3 linked regions of the Notamacropus eugenii genome follow. The protein of the gene in region 2 interacts with the protein of the main gene of each other region in a biochemical or structural test. Links are inferred from orthologs where the notes say so. Each region holds a gene or a part of one and is shown on either strand. Other genes may lie near its edges.

The links.
Region 1: the proteins of PRKCZ (region 2) and PARD6B form a complex in vitro, tested with the Homo sapiens proteins (2 studies listed by BioGRID). The link is inferred for Notamacropus eugenii from reciprocal best matches to the Homo sapiens genes PRKCZ and PARD6B.
Region 3: of the proteins of PRKCZ (region 2) and MBP, one has a biochemical effect on the other in vitro, tested with the Homo sapiens proteins (2 studies listed by BioGRID). The link is inferred for Notamacropus eugenii from reciprocal best matches to the Homo sapiens genes PRKCZ and MBP.

The regions. Positions count from the first base shown.
Region 1 is NC_092872.1:516,100,982-516,108,801, forward strand, and holds the start of PARD6B (partitioning defective 6 homolog beta), read right to left. Parts: upstream 3,077-7,820; 5' UTR 2,519-3,076; coding exon 2,453-2,518; intron 1-2,452. UniProt on the Homo sapiens protein: Adapter protein involved in asymmetrical cell division and cell polarization processes. Probably involved in formation of epithelial tight junctions.
Region 2 is NC_092876.1:36,088,506-36,096,008, reverse strand, and holds the start of PRKCZ (protein kinase C zeta type), read right to left. Parts: upstream 3,100-7,503; 5' UTR 2,635-3,099; coding exon 2,564-2,634; intron 1-2,563. UniProt on the Homo sapiens protein: Calcium- and diacylglycerol-independent serine/threonine-protein kinase that functions in phosphatidylinositol 3-kinase (PI3K) pathway and mitogen-activated protein (MAP) kinase cascade, and is involved in NF-kappa-B activation, mitogenic signaling, cell proliferation, cell polarity, inflammatory response and maintenance of long-term potentiation (LTP).
Region 3 is NC_092875.1:205,449,783-205,457,753, reverse strand, and holds the start of MBP (myelin basic protein), read right to left. Parts: upstream 3,084-7,971; 5' UTR 2,915-3,083; intron 1-2,914. UniProt on the Homo sapiens protein: The classic group of MBP isoforms (isoform 4-isoform 14) are with PLP the most abundant protein components of the myelin membrane in the CNS. They have a role in both its formation and stabilization.

The sequences.
Region 1 (7,820 bases), on a different chromosome or scaffold from region 2:
ACTGGCTGTGAAATCTCTCACTTCAAGAGATAATTAAGTAAATCTGCTACAGAAAAAAAAAATACATTTCAACTTCAAAGAATACCCTTGCTTAATGGGAAGAAATAGATATCTTCTCCCCTACATTTTAAGGGTCATTCTGAGCCAAGTAATAATATTGATTCCTACGAAATCAACTTTTATCATGATTATGGCCATGGTACATTAAAATTCAATGCCATTAGACAAAACCTGTATAGTAAAACACGACAGAGAACAGTTGTTTAAAATTTAATATATTTATATGAAAATAGAAAAAAAAAAGGCATGGCTACCATTTTTATCATTTTAAAAGTAAATCTGTCCAAGTTCCAGAAAATACCTTAGAAACAATTCAGTTTCACCATTCAAAACAATTTTACTGACAAAAATTTACTTAAAACTTAATATGAACACAGAAATTGTATTGATGCTTTGCCTATCTACTTACCATAAGCTAAGAGAATAACAGCAGGCTCTATATACATATAGCTCTTTACAGCTTAAAAAACTTTCCTAAGAATATGTATCTCAAATTGAGCTTTTCCAATGGCTGTATAAAAAGGAAATGTTTATAAAAACTTTAACATTTCAAATATGCCATTTAAACGGTTTAACTGCAACTACAAACGTGTGAGAATTTTAAATCAACTGGTAGAAAAACAGAAAATCTCTTAAAGTACAATCCTATGAGATACATTATTTCAACATGCATTTTAGGACCCCTATGCAAGGCACCATAACAAATGCTCATAATTGTGGGGTCTAAAACAATTTAAAATTTTCCAATATTAAAGAGAGAATATTTAGATTGAGTATTAATTCATTTTTAAAAAGTTAAAACCAACTGGCTAAGTAGAAGTTAATGCCTATTTCTGAGACCGGACCATACCTGAGAATTTGTCAACCTAAGCTCCCACAAAACCAAATCTGGTGATAGAACTGCAGAAAGGCATCTCAATCATCTTTGTATGGACTCGTTACTGTTATAGCATTATCCAAATTTATTTTTAATCATATTACTGTCATGCCAACAAATTCAATTTGCAATGAGAATTCCATGAAGGATGAAGAGAGAGTATGTTCTTTAAAATCCAAGTCTAAAGTTTGATTTGATGACTACATTTATGCTGATTAAATAGTGCATACAGTTTCAAACCAAACTCTACAACACACACACACACGGAATGGAGTTTCAAATGTTAACTTTTAAAAACAAGGCAAATGTGGATATCCTCGATCTCATTTTAAAGATCAAAAACTTGTAAATACACGGTCATCATCCCCTGAAGAAGACTGCATTTCTTCTTCTATGTATCCTTTAAGAAACTTCTCCCCAGTACCTTCATTCCACGGATCACTACTCTCACTCGGCAAACCGTCGATACTCAGGAATTCAATTATGCAATATTATGTTGCATTTGATACATTACTTTGTATCTACTTTGTAGCTATTTTCACGGCGCTTTCCATGCTTTGGATTCCCCTACAGCAAACTTCTGATAGGCATTACATCTCCCAAAGCCTAAAGCGGAATACGGTAGTTTTCTCACAAACTATGTGATCTTCTGCAGGTCTCTGAGCTTCAGACTCCAGAGTGTAGGTGGGGTGGGAGAGAAGAGGTTGAACAAGGTCTACATGGTTCCATCCAGTTAATATTAGCTGAATTCAAGGAAAGGTTTATTGGGATTGAACTGTCTCTTATGCATGTCTCCTCCTCCAAATTCACAGTTAAAAATCAATCTCATTTAAGAAAGCCTTTCCCACCAAACCTCTGATCACACTTTTAATAGATGGTTTTCAGTGACATCAGTGATAAACCCACTACTCAGGTTCAGTCGACATCTTAATTAACTAGTTTCATGGCTCATACGCTGGCTTGTAAATAGTTAAATAATTTCACGTTTTAAGTGTTTGGGTTTTGTTTCTTGGGTGTTCTCAACAGACCAAAGTTCTGCTGTGAAGCATTAGTGAAATTTTAAAATTCTGTTGTGATGAGTTAATACTCTCAAAGAGTAAACAGATGACAATACCAGTTAAGAGACAGGACCTCATTTTGCTACGATAGGAAGCAGATCGAATTTGAAGTCCATTTCCTACTCCCCGGCCGGTGAGCGGGGGCACGGCGAGGTGGACTCAGCCCAAGAACCCAAGCCCAATCAAGTTCTCCCCTTCCATCTGCCTCTTTCACTCGGGCGTGATCCCCTCCTTCCTACTCTCACCTGCGGGTTACGAGCTGGGGGAGGGGAGCGGAGGGGAGGAATGCTGGTCAAGCTCCGGCGAACAATACTAGATCCTCGCCAGTCTGCCGGGGCAGGGCAGGGGCAGGCGGGCCCTCCAGGTTCCTCCCCGAGTTCTCAGCCCCGGCGCCGGGCCATCACCCCCGCCCTCTCCCCAGTCTTGCTCCCGCAGACTCCCGGGGCCCCGCACCCACCTTGCTCTTCACCTCCATGGTGCCCAGGCAGCCGCTGCCCGCGCCGTGCCGGGGAGTCCGGTTCATGGTGAGCGCGGGGGGGAGGGGCGGGCCGTCTGCCCCAGGCGGCCTCCTCTCCCGGGGCGAGGGGGCGACGGAGAAAGAGCGCCTCCGGCCTGCGCCGCCCGGTTGGGGGCGCGGACGCGGCTCAGGAGATTCGAGCGGGAGGAGGGGGCGGCCGCGAGCGCTCAGCCTCGTCCTCAGCGGGCGCGACCTCGCGCGTGCCCCTCACGCACCTGCAGTTATCCGGGTGTGGGGGGCGGGGAGTCGCCACGACTGCGGTGCGCGCGCTCACCTGCCGGCCCCGACTCCGGAGGCCCAGGAGAAGCCGAACGACTGACTCCTCCCGCCCGCCCAGGGGCCAGAGCCGCGGTACACAGCCGAGAAGCTCTCCTAGTTGACTGGAATGAAGAGGAAGGGAAGGAAAGGAAAAAAGAGGGAAGGGGAACGTCACGCGCCCCTCCCACCCCAGCGCCCGCCTAGAGACGCCCGGGGGAGCACCTGAAGAGCGGGGGCGGTCTCCACCCCTTCCCCATCCAACCCCTCCTTACACCGCTGTTAAGCAGGGAAGTAGAGCGCATGCGTGGCCGCTGGAGTTTCCGCTGCAGAAGCTGGAGAACGGGGGAGGGGCGGGGGTCTGTGCCGGAAGCGAGAGCGCACCTGGAGGCGCCAGCCCTCGGGCCGTTCTCCCCTCCCCCCTCCCCGCCCCCGAGGCTGCGGGGGCGCGCTCCTGGCCTCCTCCGGGCTGGGGTTCTGGGACGTGGGCGAGTGAGCACCTGCGGTGGAGGGAGGCGCTTAACGCCTTGGAAAGCGCTGTAGAAGTGTCACCTGTTACCCATGGAGAGAGCCGGAGCCTCGGCTTCCGCGGGACGGCCAGGGCGAGAGCTGGGCCCCCGAGCGCTGGGGCCGAGCCGTCGAGTCTCCACACCCCAGCCGCCTCCCGTTTAATTGGAGGCGTCATTTATGACGACCGCTCCCCTTTTGGAGGAACTTGAAAATGAATGCCCCCTGGTATTTAATGGTTCACAGGTTACCGCGGCCAAATAACTCATCCTCTGGGCATGAGCCTTTGCCCGCCTTGCCGGTAGGCTGCTCCTGGGGTGGCACACGCGCAGTTGGTCGCAGGGCCTTCGTATTTGACAGGCCTGGAAGACCCTCGCTACCTGAGTTTAGACTTTTCGCCTAAATTTTGAGCCGCTCCCCGTTGCTAACACGCTGTGTTTTTCCTCCCAGTCCCTCCTCAGTCAGTTCCCTTCCTGGTGCTTTAAAATGCTGTCTTAGCACCTTTAGATATTCGTCACTCCGACCACCAACCCCGACCTGCACTTTTCTAGACTGGACCATCCGGGCCATGTTCTTTGGGTTCAGAAATGTCCGCTATCTTCTAAGTTTCCCTGGTAGAAATAGAACCTATTTTTCACCAACAAATTAACCCTTATCTGTCATCCTGGAGGGGAGAGAAAACCGGAGACTTCTAGAAATGTTTCCCAAAGGGCAAGTTCCCAAACTCCAGAAAGAAGTCCCAGGGTCATTTGTACTTGGACCAACAAATTCTCATGTGAGGTTTATTAAAGATGACTGTGGAGTGGAAAGAATGCCAAACTTGAAATTATGGAAACTAGGTTCATACTCTAACTTTAATTATGTGCTATCTGTGACCTTGGACAAGTTACTTTGCATTTTTAAGACTCAATTTTCTCATCTGTAAAATGGGAATAATCCTATCTTATGGGAGAAAATGTTGCATAAGCATTAAGTCTTAAAAAGTTGCAGAAATGTTAGTTATCATTACTGTGTGCAAAGAACAGTACTAGGAAATACCAAATTTAGCTAAGAGTGTGTCCTTCCTAAATAGTGTTTACGGTTTTGTACCTTGGTGGGAGGGATAAGCCATAAACTGGTATAGCAGAGATTCACCATATTCCTAGTTAAGTGTTTTGGAAAAAAGGATAAAACAAAGATAAATTGCTTTATCTGGGTACTTCCTTAGTTTCAGGTGAGTTATTCCATCGGTCCTGCAGGATAGCAAGATCTTCTAGGTTAGGGACTCCACCTTACCTGGAGGGGAATAAGAAGGGAATTTGCCCCTTGACCTTTTTCACTCTTTCTGCTAACCAGTGAGAAAGTTTCAAAAGAACAGCTCGAACAGCTTTGTGATTTCCCTTAGTTTAAAGAGGTCTAGAGGAGAACTCATAATTTAAAACCACTTGATTTTATATTTCCTACAGCTAGGCTCTTGGGACCTCTGTGTTGTTGTTTAGTTGTGTCCAACTTTTCATGACCCCATTTGGGGTTTTCTTGGCAAAAGTTATGGGAGTGAGGCAAATGGGGTTAAGTGATTTACAAGGGTGACATAGGTAGTAAGTGTCTGAGGCTCGATTTGAACTCAGAAAGATGTCTTCCTGACTCAAGACGTGGGCTGTATCTACTGTGCATCCAGCTGTCCTAGCTGCTCTGTACCTTTAGCCTTAAAATGAGGGCCTTAAAATGAGGGTTGAACTGGATGATCTTTAAGGGTCCTCCCTTCCAGTTCTAAATCTGTTCTAACCTTGTAAGGTGGATTTTTTTCCTTGGATCTCTGAAGTACAAGTATTATTATCATTTTTGAGATAACTCTTAAAAGGTTCTTGGGAGGGGCTCTACATTCCTAAGGGAGGAGGGAAGTATTTGGATCTCTTAAGAAAATTCTTCCACAGCATTTCTGCTTGCCTAGAGGTCTCCTACCACTGCTCTTCAGAGCTTAGGAGAGGAAGTGAGCTGGAGCCCACATAAGTAATTAAAGACCCTGGTTTATGACCTGCTCTTCTCACCTAAATATAAATAGGATTTGTTTCATTCTTTGTATGTTTATCTCATGTACCTGGCACTCTACCTGGCATATTTAGGGACATAATAAAAGCTTATTGATTTATTGATTCATTGATTTGGGGCTGGGGTATGGAGACATTTGGGCTTCTTAGAAATACTACTCATTTGGCCTGGTAACTTGGGAAATGCATACTGGTTTTGTAGAAGCCCACCTATTTCCCTCTCAAAATATACCCTTAAGCCAACAGATCCAGGAGAAAGAGTCTTTTGAGAAAGCCTGTCCAGAAAGTATGGATGGTGGTTTATAACTGTGTTTCAGAACCTCATGTTATCAATACTGATTTATCAGAGTTCTCCTAACAGGAATGTACATAAGCCAGCCTCGTGTGGGCATTGCATTCCTGAAGGTGTTGTCATGCCCCCTCAGGGTGTGGTTTCCCTTACATGGACTTTCCTTTCTAGATGCAAGGGTAAGGCTTATGCTTCCTGGTTCTCCAAAGAGGAATTCACTGAAAGGCTTGCATCACTGTGTAATTAGAGGTGTAAAAAAATAGTTTAAATTTGATAAAGGGGAGGAGGGACCATCCCCTTCCAGGTCCTTTTCCTATTACAGATTCAGCCTGTGATTCAGCCTTTCCCAAGCTATTCAAAGCTCTTGAAGTTATGAGACTGACACTAATCTACCTTCATCCAACCCTCCCCCAAATCCCCATTCACCTCTACAGTAGAAATCTTATATCCTGTTCTTCATTAGAGTACAGCTATTGCATAGTAGGTACTCATTTCATCTGAATGAGTGAATGAGGTCAGAGAGAGACTTACCCTTAGTGAATTTTAAATCAATTCAACAAATATTTATTAAGGATCCTATTTCTGGGTCCTCCACAAGGACAAGATGCAAAATAATCCCTGACCTTAAGGAATTTACATTCTACCAGGAGATATTACAGTTATACAAATAAGTAAATGTAATATAATTTCTGATACCACTCAGCTCCACTAAAATTATTCGGTTTAAGGCATACTGCCAGTCTTTTATCTGCTAAATCTCAAGGTATTAGTCCTCGTCTTTCTGCAGCTTTTGAAACACTTAACCTTCTCTTCCTGCATATTCTCCCTTCCTTGGGTCTGCAAGAGATTTCCACTCTCTTCTAGTTTTCCTGCTTGTCTGAAGTTTCTCTCTCAGTCTCCTTCACTAGATCATCATTCATCATATCCTGCTCCCCATGTGTGGGGCCAATTATCACCTATACGCAGAGACTTCCAAATCTGCATATCCAACCCTCTTTTCTCTCTAGGGAAACCCTTCCCTAGCCAACTAGCTGCCAGAATAAATCAGTGAAAAAGCATTTATTAAGCACTTAGCTTGTGTGAAGCACTGGATATGCAATTAAAAAAATTAGACGAAACAGTTCCTGCCCTCAAGAAGCTAAAGCAAGGTTCTAACCCACCACCCTGGACTTAGGGATGATGAGCGTGGTCATCAGTTAATTAAATGATACACCCTAACTTGGAATAGTAGAATTGAGTGATTTTTGTCCCAAGAGATGGAGATGGAAAATGGGCTAGGTTATGTTGAGGGAGGAAAAGGGCGGGATACCATTAAGATGGTGCATCTGGATAAGCTAGATACGGTAAACTCTCACCAATGATTAGAAGCCCCTGGATCAGGGCAGGACCTGGAGTGACTGAGGAGAGGTGTTTCCTGGAGCATATCTATAAGCATCTCAAACACAAAGTCCAAAATAGAACTCTATATCTTTACCCACTCTTCTAACCCCTATTTCTGTTTCAAGCATCACCTTCCTTCGTATTACTCATATTAACAACGGAGTCATTTCCCATTTTTCACTCTCCTTCACAATGGGCTCAAGATTCACTAGGTCTTTATTGTATCTAGGATAAAATGTGAACCTCTCTGGCCTTTTGAACTCCTTAAATACCTAGCCCTGATGTGTATTTCTACAGTGATTTCACGTTGCTCTCTCTCATGCACCGTGTTTCAGCTGAAATGGCCCACTTGCTGCTCCATGAAAACTAATCATTTGCACAAACTAACCTCCCATACCTGAAATGTTCTCCTTGTTTACCTCTACCTCTTGGATTCCCTAGCTCCCTTCTACACTTAATTCAAATGCCAATCCCTCTAAGAAGCCTTTCCTGATCCTCTTTAAATACTCTCCCTCATGCCAGAAAATTACTTTATTACTTTGTATTTTTTGTTGTATTACTTTGTATTAATTGTGTGCACCGTATTCGTCTCTTCCCTCCCCCCCATAGAAGCTCCTTAGGGGCAGGACCTGGTTTTGGTTTTGTATTCTCCATGCTTAGTGCATTATAGGAACTTAATAAATTGTTATTGAATTGAGAAGGGGAGGAGATAGAGAGGGAAGTTGGAATCTTCTGGATCCTGTTAAGCTAGAAGGGAACCTTTGACTCATGAACTCAAAATCTTTTGTTTTACAGATGGGGAGGCTGAGACCTAAGTGGACTGATTACTCAGACTCACAGAGCTAATAAA
Region 2 (7,503 bases):
CATAGCCAGTGTCAAAAGCCTTGAACTAAGGTTCTCAGGACTTTGAGGTCAGCTCTGCATCTTGACTCTACAAAATAAAGACCAGTTAATTTCAAGAGGGAGTAAGCCTTGAAGGAAGCTAGGGATGCTAAGAGGGATATGGGATGTTATGAGATAACATTTTATATAATATAATACTAACAATGGAATTCATCCGGAAGGCTTTCTCTTTCGGATTGTAACAAGAATTAATTTCCAATAAAAAGGATTTGTTTTTAAGAATAGGGAATAATTTTGCATTTCCAAAAAACATTTTCTGATTCTAAAAACTTTTTTTGAAGTTTTAGCAAAGTCTAATTTTAGAAAGGTCACCAGTGTATTCCTTAAAGAAATGAAATGAATGACCAAAATGTGAGCCCTTCACGATGACCTGTGTGTGCCCCTTTCCTAAGAGGATAATAAGCTTTCTTCTGTCGTTTTCCAAGCCAAATACCAAGCTGAGATTTTCACAAACAAAAAAAATATGAATACTATTTTCAGTCTCTTAACCTCCTCAGATGAGAGGTGTTCTCTCCAAAAGATTGCTACTTGTATCTGGCTGGTTTTTGGACTTGGGGGAGGAATTGAGAGCTCTTAACTTCAAAAATGAGAAAGTGACTGAGAATGAAAGGCTTAAAAAAAAAACAAACAAACCTCTCCCTTTTACTGAGCCAAGGGTCCAGCTTCAGGAGAGTGGATTCAATTCATGGGTTAAGCTCACTAGCTACAATACGCCAAGGAATCCAGGGTCAGACTCAAGGAAGAAATCTAAACCAGTGGAAGGCTACTGGCTGCATACAATTTCCTTACAGTGAAAGGACTAGACTACTTATTTTTCTCCCCTTCCCAGATTAAAGTGGTAAAAAAAAAAAATAAAAAAAAGAAAGAAAGGGAAAAAAGAGAGAGAAAACCATCTCCTATAAACCTACTCTGCTAAAGTACCAACTAGCCCATGGCACAACTCTGGGGACTGAATCAAAGGCCTAGAGATGCAGGTGAGGAGAAACAAAGCAGGTGCTTTCAATGTGGGGGCAATGAATTTTGGTGGTGTTTATTTTGATAACTATTTCAATAGAATTGGTTTCCTTTGGAATCCTCTGAATTTTATTTTATGCATTTAAAAAAGATGGCTCTGAAGAGGGGACCATAGGCTGGCCCAAGAGGTCCAGGACACAGAAAAGATTGAGGAAAAAGGAATATCTTAATACCCAGCGTCCCAGGTCATGTACAGAACATATGTGACAGTCCCAGACTGGAAGGAACTTATATAGGATCATAGATTATGAACTTGGAACTGAAGAGACTCTTGGGGTCATCTGATGTAGCTTCATCATTTTACAAAATAAGGAACTGAAATAAGGCCCAAGGAAACGATTTGCCCCAGATCGTACAAGTAATGAAGCATAGTATTCGAACCCAAGTCCTCTGACTCCTGAGAACTTCAGTGACCTAAATGCGCTACGAATATATCACTCTACTAGAGTAGAGGCTAGGCAAAGATACAAAAACGCTGTATGCTAGGCTAACTGCCAAAAGCCAGCTCTGATGGAGGGTATGGAGACCCAGCCTTAGAGTCGGGCAGACCTGGGTTCAAGTTCAGCCTCGGATACATACTGGTGGTGTGATTCTGGGCAAGTCTAGGAATGTCTCGGTGCCCCCAGAAGAGATCTGAGCTGTAGATGAGGTGAGAGGGAGGGACAGAGACAGAGAACGCTATAGGTCTAGACAAATGAAAAATGAAAACAATTACAAAATCCAGCTGGAGAATACGGCTCCTTCTTACCCTGCCCTCAGTGGCGCACACTGTATTAAATAAGGCATAAGGATGCACCTGTGTCTTCACCAGTACGAGGTGAGGAAACCTCCCGAGTCACCAGTGCCGGATCGCCCCTTCTTGGCAATTCAACAGGTACCTGGAGCCTCGGGAGGTCAAGTTGCTTGGGCTCAGGATGCCAAAGTCAGGAAGTACCTAAGGCGGGATTTGAACTCAAGTCGTCAGGGCTCCAACCGACTACACACACCACTCGGGGGCTTCTCACGGATTAATCGCTCACCTCGTTCAAACTTTAAGTTTTGCAAAGCTCCTTACTCGGTCTTTGTAGGGGCAGAAACAGGTCTACAACGACCAGCTTACAAATCATCGGCCCATTTCACAGGTAAACCCGGACACTCGGCTCCGCCTAGCCTGCTACGGCTCCTTTCACCGAGCCCCGGCCCCGGAATGCTTTGTTCATGAGTCACTGTTACATTTTGTAACTAAGACTCAGAAGAAAAAGTTTAGCTCCAGTAATCGCTACAGTTTACTGCTCATTAAGTCGCAAAGGGGAGACTTTGAAAAGACAGCCCCCCCCCCCCCAGCAGGGACTGTTACACCTCCTCCTTCTCCGCCCCCCCCACTTCCCTCCCCCCGTTTGTTGCCAAAGCACCGACCCGGGAGAAGGGACAAACTTTCCACGGCTGCCCAGCAAACAGACGCCAACTTGGCGAGGCTTGCAGGGGAGGGCTCTGGGGAGGGAGTGCGGGGCAGTGGGCGCCGCTGGCTCACCCGTTGTAGTGTGCCTTAATGCGAATGATCTCCCGGCCCACGTTCGTCTTGGACCCCATCCTGCTCGGCATGGCAGTAATCCCAACCAGCGGAGTCTGCGTCCGGAGTGCGCGCGGAGAGCGGTGGCCGGCAGGGGCTTCAGGGCTCAGGGCTTCGGATCGGGGCTCGGAACCCGGCTCGGTGGCCACGGCACGCTCTCCATTTCACCGCCTGGCCCACTCGACGAAACAGAAACACCAGGGCCGACGCAGCGCCCCGAGAGGGCAACCCCCGGGAGCGGGCGCTGTCTGTGCCCGGAGCTACCTGGAAGAAGGGGGGAGGGGAAGGAGGGCGGGGAAGAGCCCCCCCCGGGAAGTTTTCCCGACTCCCTTCCCAAATATCCAAGCCAGGAAACGTCTGCCTCTGGGACAGGGCCACAGCGAGGCTAGGACGTCCAGGGTCTCCAGGGAGTGAGTCTCCCCCAGGTCACATTTCTAACCCAGGAGCTAAGAAGGAAGCAGAATCCTACCTGCAGGCTGGACTCCCGGAGGAGGAGGGGCAGGAACAAGAGGAGGAGCAGGAGCGGGAGGGGCCGGAGCAGGAGGAGGGAGGGGCAGGTTGGGGGCTGAACCTACTGGCTTCCTTTGGCGGAGGCCCCCACCCTCTCCCCGCCACCAGAAGTGGGGAAGTAGGGGGCTGGGCAGGGATTAGACACCCAGCCGAGGGGGGATGGGGGGGACTGGACAAACACATGATGATGACCCAAAGAGGAAGGACTCTGCTCTCCGAAGTTCTCACTGGAAAGCTGCACTAACGACCTGAGCTGGGGACAGATGGGTCGCAGGGGAAGTGCAAGAAAGGGAAAATGGGACCGAGGGATTCCTGAAAGAGACAGGGATGTGGAGTGGGGAGTTCCAGTGGTAAAAGGAGCCGGGGAACTAGGGGGTGACCTCCAGAATAAAAGGAAATTGGGAGAAGAGCGGATTAAAGGTCCGGAATCCGTGTGGGTCAAAGCTGGGGTGCAGATAGGGGATGTTTTAGAAGGACTGGAAATGGAGGGGGTGGGGGTGGAGTTGGAATCCTTGAGTCACAAAGGGGAATTTGCCTGCTGGTATGGGTCACGGATTTGGGTATGAAGCTAAAGGTCCTCAAAAGCCATCCAGTACTATCCTATCATTTTACGAATGAGGAAACTGAGGCCCAGGGATAGAACCCTGGGGTGGGGAAAGTCCAAAGAAACCAAGAGGAAGGGGCAGGCATGTGGAGAAAGACGAATCGGGGGAGGTGTTTGGAAGACCCTGGGGTAAGCGATGTTCTGGGGAAGGGGGCAAGCTTGTGGGAGACGACGAGGTGGGAAGGGGATTTGCAGTCCATTAGGTAAATGGGAAACCTTCAGGGAGGATGAAGTTAGGGGGCTGGGCATGGGGTGGGGACATCCGGCCTGAGTACGGGATTAGGGGGAGGAAGCCTCGAGAGGGGCTTCGAAGAGATCCTGGGGGGTAGCTTAGCGGGGAGTGGAGGACACACATTTACTGAGGCTGTAGCCCCTTCTCCCTGACCCCTCTCACCCACTGAGGGCGCCGCAGAGGAGAGAACCCAGGCATCACCCCCGGCCCTGCCCGACAACTCTGCTCCCCTAGCCCCAACTTTACTCCCCGGAAGATAGTCCAGCCGGGAAGAACTTGGCCTGTGGCTGGTCCGAGCGCGCGACCACAACCCTGGGGGAGTAGGGGGCGCGCGCGCTCGGCCCACGCTAAGAAGGAGGGGCCGAAGCAGGGGGGACTGAAGTTCGCTCAGAAGGGCTTGAACCCCACCCCGTCTAGAACGGTCCGAACGTGGCGGATTGGCCGAGTTCCGAACGATCGGCCAATAGGCGCGCGGGCATGAGCGGTAGGAGGAGAGAGGGAGCAAAGTACCTGGTGACCAATAAGGAAGCCCATCCGGATGGCCACCTGGAGCCAATCCTCAAGGGGATGCCGCAGGCTCAGAGCCAATCGGAGAGTCGGACGGGCTACCTGCGTTCGGCTAGTCCCCTGCCTCCTCCCAACGCAAAAGTTGAACACCTGCAACCAATGGGGCAGCGGGAACTCAGATGGCTGGAATCTACCTAGCAACCTAAAGGTGGAAGGGGCGCCAGAGGAGAGTCGGCTGGGGTGGGGGGTGGGAGGGACAGGAAGGACCAGAGTCGGCCGTGGAGGGTCCTGAATTCTCCCCAGGATGTACAATGTTGGGCAATCCATACCATTTTAGACTCCCCTACCTGGAAGATGGGCTGGGTTCAAATCCCAGCTCTGCCACTGCCTGATTGGGGGGAGGGGTGGCATTTTGATTTTCTGGGTCTCAGTCTCCTCATCTGTAAAATGAGAGTTCGTCTTGATGCTGAAGGACCCTTCCAGCTTGGAATGTCTCTGCTCCCATGAAGGGTTCTGAGTCATATCAGGGAATCTCTAAAGAATGTGAGCTCTGGAGATTGAGAACCTGAGATCAAATACCAACTCTGCTGCTGACCTTGAGCAAGTCACTTTGGCTAGGTAACCTAAGAATCCTTCAATCAATAAACATTTATTAAACACCTACTATGTGCTAGGCACTGTGCTAAGCTCTGGGGATTCAATTCATTAAATATTTGTTAAGCATCTAGTATGCTAAGTGGTAGAATACAAAAAGAGCCAAACAAGGCAGTCCTTGCCCTCATGGAGCATCCAATGTAATGAAGGAGACACCATGCATTATACATACATACAGTATCCCATACAGTATACAAATACTGTTTATTCAAAGCAACTTATATACAGGATAAATAGGAAATAATTAACAGCAGGAAAGCACGAGACTTAAGAGAGGTTGGGGAAAGTATCCTGTAGGAGGTGAGATTTTAGCTGGGACTTAGAGGAAGCAGAAGAAAGACAGTGAGTGTTGCAGGCCTGGGAGAGAGCCAGAGAAAATGCCATAAGCCCAGAGGTGAAGGGTCTTGTTCAAAAAACAGCCAGGAAGCCAGTGTCATTGGACTGAAGAGTCCATGGTGGGGAATAAGGGGTGAGAAGACTGGAAAGGTAGGAGAGGGCTAGGTAACAAAGGACTTTGAATGCTAAACAGAACATTTTGTATCCTGCTCCTACAAAAAGAAGCAAAAGACAATCCCTCCTCAAGAAGTGTACAGCTCTGAAGGCTGCTGGGTAGGTAGCATGCTGGACTTAAGATCCTAACATGTCTGAGTTCAAATTTTCTTAATTTCTCTTTCCCCATCTATAAAATGCAGGTTATGGTGATGGCGCCTACTGCCCAGGGTTGTAATGAGGCTCAGATGAGAGAACATATGTCAGCTGTTTATATTAATAATAGGGCTGTAATCTTTCACAACTTCTATTCCTGTGATCTTTCCATTGTGCTACATTATCTTAGTACAGCCCAGGCACATAGTAGGCACTTAATAAATCTATTCATCTATTTCATCTTTTTGTTGTGAATTTGGGGGAGGGGAGGGCATCTGGGTGGTCCAGTGGATAGATTCAGGATTCTGGAGTCAGAAAGACCTGAGTTCGAATCCAGCCTCAGACCCTGGGCAAGTCACTTAACACCAATTGCTTCTAAAAACAATCATAGTAATAACCCTTACCTTCACTTACAGTCTCTGGTAAGTGACTTACAGACAATCACACAGCAAGTGAGGTCAAATTTGAAGTCAGATCTTCCTGACTCTTTATCTACCAACCATCTAGTTACCTCTAGAGAAAGGTTACCAGGACTTGACTCTATTGATTGTCTACCTTTAAGAAAGTGATGAAGAAAATTTTAATAATGCAAATTAAAGTTTTAAGGATGTCCTGAGTATATCCTCCTGCTCCCCCATCAGAGAACTGAGTTAAGCATTTACCAGCACACCTCTTCTTTCTCCCCATATGTATCTTCAGTAGTCAAGGTCTCTCCTAGTTCTGACATTTGGTGTTCTAAGATCGTACCAGCTCTGTGCTAGTCTAAAGTTCTTCCTGTTGTAACTATTCCTGTTCTCTCTTTTAAGATCCCCGCCCCCCCCCCCCCCCCCCCCCGCCACCACCCCCCCTCCAGCTCTGATATTCATACAAAGCACAGAACACAACTTGACCATGGACCTACAGTATACTTTCAGGGTCAATGCTTCCTCCCCTGAAATAGGAAAACCATTGCCTAGTTATTAATTAACCCACTACTGAGTAATCTGGGCAGGGGCAACCAGATGGAGAGACCCTAACAGATACCTCAGTGTAAAGAGCAGCTCCCAGAAGAGAGGGCCCTGACTCCAGCCAGAACCACAGGCAGGCTTCCTGGTGTTAACAAACTAGTTCCAAAACAAAGCCTGCTGGGCTTAGATGGGCTGATGGGACCAGATTTAATGAGAACGCCATTTCAACTTCCTCTGGAAATTATGTCATTTTGAAAGGCTGTTTCATTCTGCGTGCGTGTGTGTGTGTGCGCGTGTGTGTGTTTTAAACCTTCATAACAACAAAATACAGCAGACAGTACAACTGACCCTGCCTTCAAAATAAGGCCACTGGAGCTGGAAGCTAAAAGCAGAGGGAGGAAAGTAGCCAAGAGGAAAAAGAAAGCAAGGGGAATTTTTTAAAGCTACAAACCTGCAACAAATTAAAAAAAATAATAATCCCAACTGAACACAAAAAATAGAAACTCTGAAAATCAAAGAAGAGATCAATAAAATCAAAATAAAAACTTCAGAAAATTGATAAATAAAACCAGGGGCTATTTTTCAGAGAAAAAACTAATAAATACAGAAGCCATTGATCTTACTTTTAGAAACAGAGGGAAAAGTGAAATTGACGATATTAAAAAGGAAAAAGAATCATTTTCAACAAATGAAGAGGAAATCAATAATAAGCATTTATTAAGTGCCTACTACATGCCAGACATTGTGCTAAGCCACTGGGGATCCAAAAAAAGACAAAAGACTGTCCCTGCCCTGAAGGAAT
Region 3 (7,971 bases), on a different chromosome or scaffold from region 2:
TTGAAATATTTTTTCTTCTTTATTAACTATTCTGGTAGATAAAAGGGGCATCCTTTAGAATAATAAAGCTATAAAATAGTATCAGACTAATAGTTTAATCATTCTGGAAAAGAAACTGTATGTGACAATATGCCAAAATTAATATTCATAACAACTCAATTCTACAAACATCTATTAATCACCCACTGTGTGAAAGTAACTAACCTATCCCAGTGGAAAATAAAAGCAGGTAGCAGGTAAAGGAAGTGAAGATGCCAAGGGAAGTTTTTAAAAATTTAAATCCCCAGTATGTTAGCTGTCAAGTTGTCTTCTTTCTGACAAAAGCAACAAAATTGTCTAATGATAACTGGTGCTCAAAATTATCATCAAAGTCATCAAAGAAAGACTTATTTTCAGTTTCCCTATTTGCTAAAAGAAGAAAGTGGACTAATACAGACATTTTTTCAACAATAGTTAAAATTACAAATATGCTGCAATGACTGTTGAATTGAGAACAGTACATTTTCTGAGCATTCTGATAAATTAAACTTTTATTTAAAGATGATTTATTTTAACTTTGCACCTCTATTTTCTGGGTTATACCACTTTGTTAGAGACAGCCATTTATAGAAATCACAGAATTTTTAATCTAGAAACCCTAATATTTAAACCAATAGAAAATGAAGGTACTTAAGACATGATCTAGTCCAATGTCCCCATTTTATAGATAAAGGAACTGCTGTCCAGAAAAGTAAAGTGATTTTTCCAATCTCGCAACACCGTGGTAGAACCAGTCTTCGGAACCCTGGGCTCTAGAGCTCTTTCCACTCTATCTATGGGTCTGTTGTAGGTCATGTAGTCGAATCTCCTTTATTTACTGAAGAGAAAGCCTATGTCCAGAAATATGAATAAACTTGTTCAACGTATGTACAAGGCGGGGGGAGGGTCGGAAAGTTGGGGGGTGTCGGTGATAAGCCTCGGGTCTTCCAACTCAAACCTCTTATCTCGTTATTACACCGGTTTCCCCTGCAGCTAGGTGGCGCAGTGGAGAGTGCCTGGCCTGGAGTCAGGAAGTGAGTTCAAATGCGGTCTCAGACACTAGCAGTTGTGACTGGGCAAGTCACATAAACTTTGTTTTCCTCAGTTTCCTCATCTATAAAATGAGAAGGAAATGGCAAACCACTCCAGTATCTTTGCCAAGAAAACCCTAAACGGGGTCATAAAGATTCAGAAACGACTCAACAACAATAAAATCACCTGGAGTTCACAGCCCTTCTGGGGCATATTTCAACTTTAAAAAATTACACACACACACACACACACACACACACACACACACACACACACACACACACATACACAGATTCAAGGAAAAAACTGAACATGTTGATTCTCATAATGTAACAGCGAAACAGAGGAAGAATGAGAATTCGTCCTTCCAGCGTTATAATGAATTCCAACAATTCCAAGGACTTCAATTTCCACCTCCTTCTCATCAAGCTTTCTAAAAAACTCGATTACACTAGGCCCTGACAGGGTACTGCCACCAGGTCTTTACAACACCTACACAACATCTTTACAACACCTTTGTGAAAGCAGAATGACTGAAACACAAGCAAATGGATTTCTTGGGAATCTACCGAAACCCAAGAACTGTCAGAGACAGGAACGGAAAAACAAAACAGGCACACCCTTGGGAAGCTATTTTTTGACTCATGGATGCCAGGGACTAGGTTGAATAAGACCAAAAGAAATCGGGGCGCGGGGGGGGGGGGGCGGGTAGAGGGGAAGAGGGAGAATCACGAATGAAAAAGTTTCCTTGTCAGGAGTCCTAGGGAAAGTAGCCCCTAGAGTCGGTACTGCAGGTGTGGAAAGCAGCAGAGGTAGCAGAGGTCGGGGATGCCAGCGAGGGCAGCTGGGGCACTGGCCGAGAGCGGGAGGAAAGGGTTTACTCCAGAGTTCCAGTTGCTAAGCTCCTGGGCCAGAGAGAAGTTTGGTAACTGATCAGCGGAGCAGTGAGAACACGCCATAATCTGAAACCGGAAGCTACACAAGAAACCCAGGCTGCGGCTCCTTAACTGAAACTCTGGACTTGGAGGAACGCGCAGCACAGGTTTGCAATTAAATAAATAAATAGACAGAAACCAACAAAACACTCGGATACATTGTTTCTTGATAGGAATGTCTTTTGTAGCAGTGAAAGGCAACATCCCTTAAACATTTGCCAACCACCAGACTCCACTAAACCCCTCCCCCGCGAGAAGCTCCCAAAGGCAGGGTCAGGCCGGGGGACACCGGTCCTCCCCCAAAGTGACACTTGGTAAATCCACCCCTTTGGCAAGCAAACCCACCCTCCCGCCCGACGTCCCAGCTGGGTCGGACGACAGGAGACCCTTCCTCCAGCTGGAGCAGCTGCCGCCGCACCTACGTGAAGAAAAGTCGGCCTGCCTCCTACAAAACACCTTTTATCCAGAAAAAGGACTCTCGGTGTGGTCAGGGGCAGAGACCACGCAGGAAACGTCTCGGAGCTGGGCCGGCACCTGCCCGGACCCTGCAGCCCCGGGAAAAGGAGGTGGTGGTGGTGCCCGTTCCAACCCGGCCACCTGCGCTGCTGCTGCTCAGGTATCGGCCTCCGCTCTCACACCGCTGGGACAATTTCACCTCCCCCCCGGCTTGGGCAAATGGTCCTTCTCTGACGCCCCCCTCCCCACTGGAAATCCGCGCTCGGAAGATCGACAGAGTTATATCGCTTCCTCCCTCTGCCCCCATCCCTTTGAAAGAGAAAACGAGGGAGGTCGAAGAGAGCTTTCTCACTATTTCGCCCCACTGGCCAGTTTCCCGCCCCCTCTCCCCGCCTAGGGCCAGGGAAAGATGAGCTAGGAGACAAAGGGCCCTGGAGGTCCCCTAGCCCCTACTACCCCTGTTGTTCACGCACCGGGTCTTCAGCTCGCCTCGCTCCCTCCGGCTGCTTCCAGGGGCTACCGCATCCACAGGCGAGGGGGTGGCGGGGGGGCGGGGGGGGAGAGGCACGCTGACCTCTCCCCCTGGAGCAGAGCCGCCCCCAGGTGGGGTGAAGAGGAGAGGAGAGGAGGCGAAGGCAGTGCACCAGCAGAGACAGGAGGAGGAGGGGCCAGGAAAAGCTTGGGGAGAGTGGGGAGTGTGTGTGTGTGTGTGTGTGTGTGTGTGTGTGTGTGTGTGTGTGTGTGTGTGTGTGTGTGTGTGTGTGTGTGTGTGCGCGCGCGCGCGCGCGCGTGTGTATATCTGTGTGTGTGTGTGTGTGTGTGTGTGTGTGTGTGTGTGTGTGTGTGTATCTCTGTGTGTGGGTGCTATTCCCTGGCGTTTAGGTCCAGGAAGGGGGAAAGTGTAGACGGAAGGTGTAGGCTTTGGGGGACTAGCCACCCTGCTTTCCTGGATGCCCAGCTACCTTCCGCAGTGTCAGCCCCAGTCTAGCGCTCTGGCCCTGGAGGGGAGACTCAAAGACTAGGTCTGCTCTCTAGAGCTGAACAGCTGGTGACTGACAGGCAGCTCTAGCAGGGACACTCACTCACTCTTCTTCCCCTCCTCTTTACCCTACGGCTTCCTGTGAACAAGGTAAACACATGGGCTGACTCGTAGCTGACTCCCCTCCCGAGACAGCCCCACCTAGACACACTGTGCTCTGCCTCTCCGACCCAGAATGCCTCCTTCCTCTTGAGACTCCTCCAGCAGTCCCCCTCTCCCCCCATGAAGTCTGCGTCTCCGGCTGCTATTCCCTCCAGCTCTGAGCAGAGCTACTAGGTGCAGTTACCTTGTGTAAATAAGGGGGATTTAGCACGTTCCTTTACCCAATCCTGGGTCCCAGAAATGGAGGAGTCTGTAGGACTGGGACCGCTCCTTCAGTTTAGGGATAGCCCACCTTGTAAATAGTTCCCTTTGGCAATTCTGCCCTCCTTGCAGCTTAAATAAGCCCTTTCATCTTCCTTCTCCTATCTGATCCACCCAGTGCACGTACATGAGGACCCCCTCTACCTCACCTTTTCTACTCTGTCATATTGAGAGAAGTTACCAGGTATAGTTTGTGTAGGAAGCACTTGAATTTTAAAAGGGAAGAAAGTGTCAGCTCCTTTTTGAGAGGCCAAGGCAAGTGTTCAACGCCTCTTTGATCTTCATCTTTAAACTTTCTCCTTGCCACAGGCTACTTCTCCGCCTTTCCTCCCCTTCCGCCCCAAGTTTTCTCGACGTGGCCAGACCTCTCCAAAACAAAAAAGCTTTCATGGACTCTTCCAATTTCTCTTCTTCTTACCAAACTTTTTCAAACAGTAGTCTATTCCATTTGCCCTCCCACCACTCCTCAGCTCCTTAAAGACTGGTATTTATCCCCACTATGTTTTGCTAACTGCCCTCTGAAAGATCACTTTGTTGTCTAATCCAAATAATTTTTCTCAGGAGTTATCACTTTTTGACCTTTCTGTACCATCTAACATCACTGACCATTCCTTGATCCTCAATATTCTTTCCCATCTTGCCTTCTTCATAGAACAACATACATTTCCTCATTCTACATTTCTTATTGCTTCTTCTTACTGTATCTTCTAGCTCTCCTTTAGTGGCTTCTCTATTTCCTGATAGTTTAAGTTCTGTCCTTTCTTCTTAATTCTCTACATTTTCTTTTACCAGTCTTATCAGTTCCCATTCCCCACCCCCACCCCATATTACCCTCCACATTTACAGCCCTGAAATTCTTTCCTGAACTTCAAACTGGCATTTCCAATTGCCTCATGAAAATCTCCACCTGGATATCTTAGGATAAACTCTTTATTCAGGTAGTGAGGATCTCCACAACCTGCATGCCACCCTTCCAGCATCCTCTAATTCTGCTCCTGGCCCTGTGCACCATTCTTCAAACTGCACTACTCACCATCCATCATGAAAGGAAAGGGTTATTTTATCAATTCGGGTTTCAAAGTGACTATAATATTTTTGATTTGATGATCCAAGTGTTCCTACCCTTTCCCTCCCCTCAGTCCTCCCTACCCCCATATATTCCAGATGAGTAAGGATAAAGGTTACTTAGCTATTGATAGGAATGTATAAATTGTATTGACCAATGATCTTGGCTTTCGAATTGGATTAGATTCAGATTTAGGTTGTAAAATAAAATGAATGCTGTTCTGAGTCAATCCAGTATTTTTATCGCCTAATTATGTAAGGGTCTATGCCTCCATTAGGAACTGCCTCACTTTTCATCTTTGTATTCTGAGGGTGTAGTGGCATAAACCATTTAAAATTTATTAAATTTGTTGAACCTAGAGGGGAACATGTTCTGTAGTTAAAGTGCCAATTTCCAGTCAGCCAAAGTGACACCAGACTGACAGAGTCCTGAGGGCAGGAATTGTTTTCTGAGAACTGGAGAATAATGACAGCCATGAGACTTGAGTTAGATAGGATAAAGTAAACTTTGGAAGACATTCCAGCCATGCAGGCTAGCTTCATATACACACATACACACACACATACGTACATATGTATATATGTGTGTATACATATATATGTATGTGTATGTGTGAATATAAATAAACACTTCTGATTACCACTGCCTTTGTAATGACTATTGCATACTATTTTGTTTCATTTTTTTCTTTAGGAATATTTGTTTTTAAAAAGCACACTCAATATTATTAGTGTACTAGAAAGGAATGTTGGGGAAAAAAGGATTAACAATTCCATTATATTAAAGATAAGCAGAAAAGGTAGCATTAAGACTCCAAAGTGTTGAGAACTGGAGGTCAAAGGACAGGCAAAATAGAGAGTTTGTGAGGAGATTTCTCGGTCCTCAGCTACTTATAGACTCAGAATATATATATATATATATATGTATACATATATATATATATATATATATATGCATAGATAGATAGATAGATAGATAGATAGATAGATAGATAGATAGATAGGTAGGTAGGTAGGTAGGTTATAAAGAGAAACTATTGACCAAGAAAGGAGCTTCCTAACATGGAGAGGTCCAGATTCCACTCTCATCTGATTTTCCTTTGATCCCTAGCCTGGAGATTTCCTTCCATTCATTCAAAGTTTTAGTCCAGTTTGTCACTGTGCCTGGAAAGCCCTCCTTTTTTTGTTTTCACCTAGTTAGAATCCCAAACTTCCTCTAAGGGCCAGCTTAAACGCCACTTCCTCCATGAAGTCTTCCTAGTCAGAAATGACTCTTCTTTTTCTTCTTCCAATAACTGACATTTATCTAACGCTTTAAAGTTTGCGGTGGTTTGTATGTACCATCTCATTTATCTTCACAATTACCCTGTGAGACAAGTACTTCAAGTATGCTCTCCATTTACAGGTGAAGAAACAGGTTCAAGGGACTTGCTCATGGTCACACCATTAGAGTCAGGGGCAGGATTCTAGAAGGCACTACACTGGTAGGAGCTTTATAGGAATTCAAGAAACTTGCCAAAAGTTTTCTATGTCCTAAGTCCCCAGGAACCCTCTCCTGCTACCTGGTCTAGATAGCTGTCCCTGATGATGACTTTTAAAATGAAAAATACTCCTAAGGGGAATATTTTGAACATAAAATCATATGATTAGTGATTAGAAGCTAGAAGGGACCTTAGAGGCCATCTAGAGCAACCTTCTCCCTCCTTTTACAGATGAGGAAACTGAGTTCTAGCGATAGTGATTGATTTGCCCAGGGTAAAAGGTAGTAAGCCAGAGCTGGGATACAACCCCAGGTTTTCTGACTTCAAATCAGACATGCTTTCCACAATGCTTGGAGTTTTAGCAGCTATTTACATTTTAGTATGAATAATTTATCTGACCATAGACTATTAGAGTTAGAAGAGACCTTAAAACTTACATAGTTCAACTGCCTCAATTTACAGTTGTGGAAACTGAGACACAGATAAATTACATTATTATATGCCCATGGTCAAAATCTCCTTAGTGACAAAGCCAGGACTAGAATGCAGGACTTCCAGTGTTTTCCACTGCATAATGTTGCCTTCTTTCCTTTGAAGAAGTTTTGATAAGGGTAAGAAAGCATTAGGCTATTTGATATCTGAGCTAGTGGTGGGAGTCATCATATAAGGAAGCAAGAACGCTAGAAAAAAGAGATGATGGAAATACCAAAGACCAAATTTACAGTTTTGTTCAATAGGTTCACCTCTACTTATTTGGCTTCATATTAACTTTATGAATTCAGTTCAAGTCAGTGTTAGGAAGGTCTGAAAGGGACTGACAAATATAAGGGAGTCAAGTAGACCAGAAAACAGAGTCTACACACTTCTATGATCCCTAATCTAAGTGACCCTTGAACTACTAGTTTCAGTTTCAGATCCAACTCTTCCAGATCCCTATTGGGATTTTCTTGACAAAGATAGTGGAGTGGTTTGCTATTTCCTTCTCTAGCTCGTTTTACTAATAAAGAAATGGTGACAAATTAGATTAAGTGACTTGCCCAAAGTCATTCAGCTACTAAGTGTCTGAGGCTGGATTTGAATTCAGGAAGACTCATCTTTCTGACTCCAGGCCTGAGACTTTATTCACTGAGTCACCTAGTAGCCCCTAACTACTAGTAAATACCATCAAGGATCTAGAGAAAACTGAAGTGGATTTCTCTATGATAGCTTCCCTAGTCTGGGCTCCTTCTCCAAAAATTTGATCCTTTGGCTTTCCCTTATATTTCTCCTTCTCCAACTTTTCTCTATTTATGTTGCTATCCACTCACTCTGGAGCTGTCCAAATGACATCTATATGAGTGACTCAGGCCAGTGAGGAAAGAGGGTTGGCAACATTACCATCCTACACTTGGCAGTTGACACTGGGCAGGGGACAATGAATGCAATGCATTGTCCTTCTCCACACTGCTTCTGCTAATTTGCCAGTGACTGTAAATAGAAATCACATGTGCCAGTAGTCATCTTTGCATGTGCCTCGCCTGCCAGCTTATAGTCATTTCCTCCTGACACTTATGAAATCATAACATTCTCTTTTTAAAGTGTT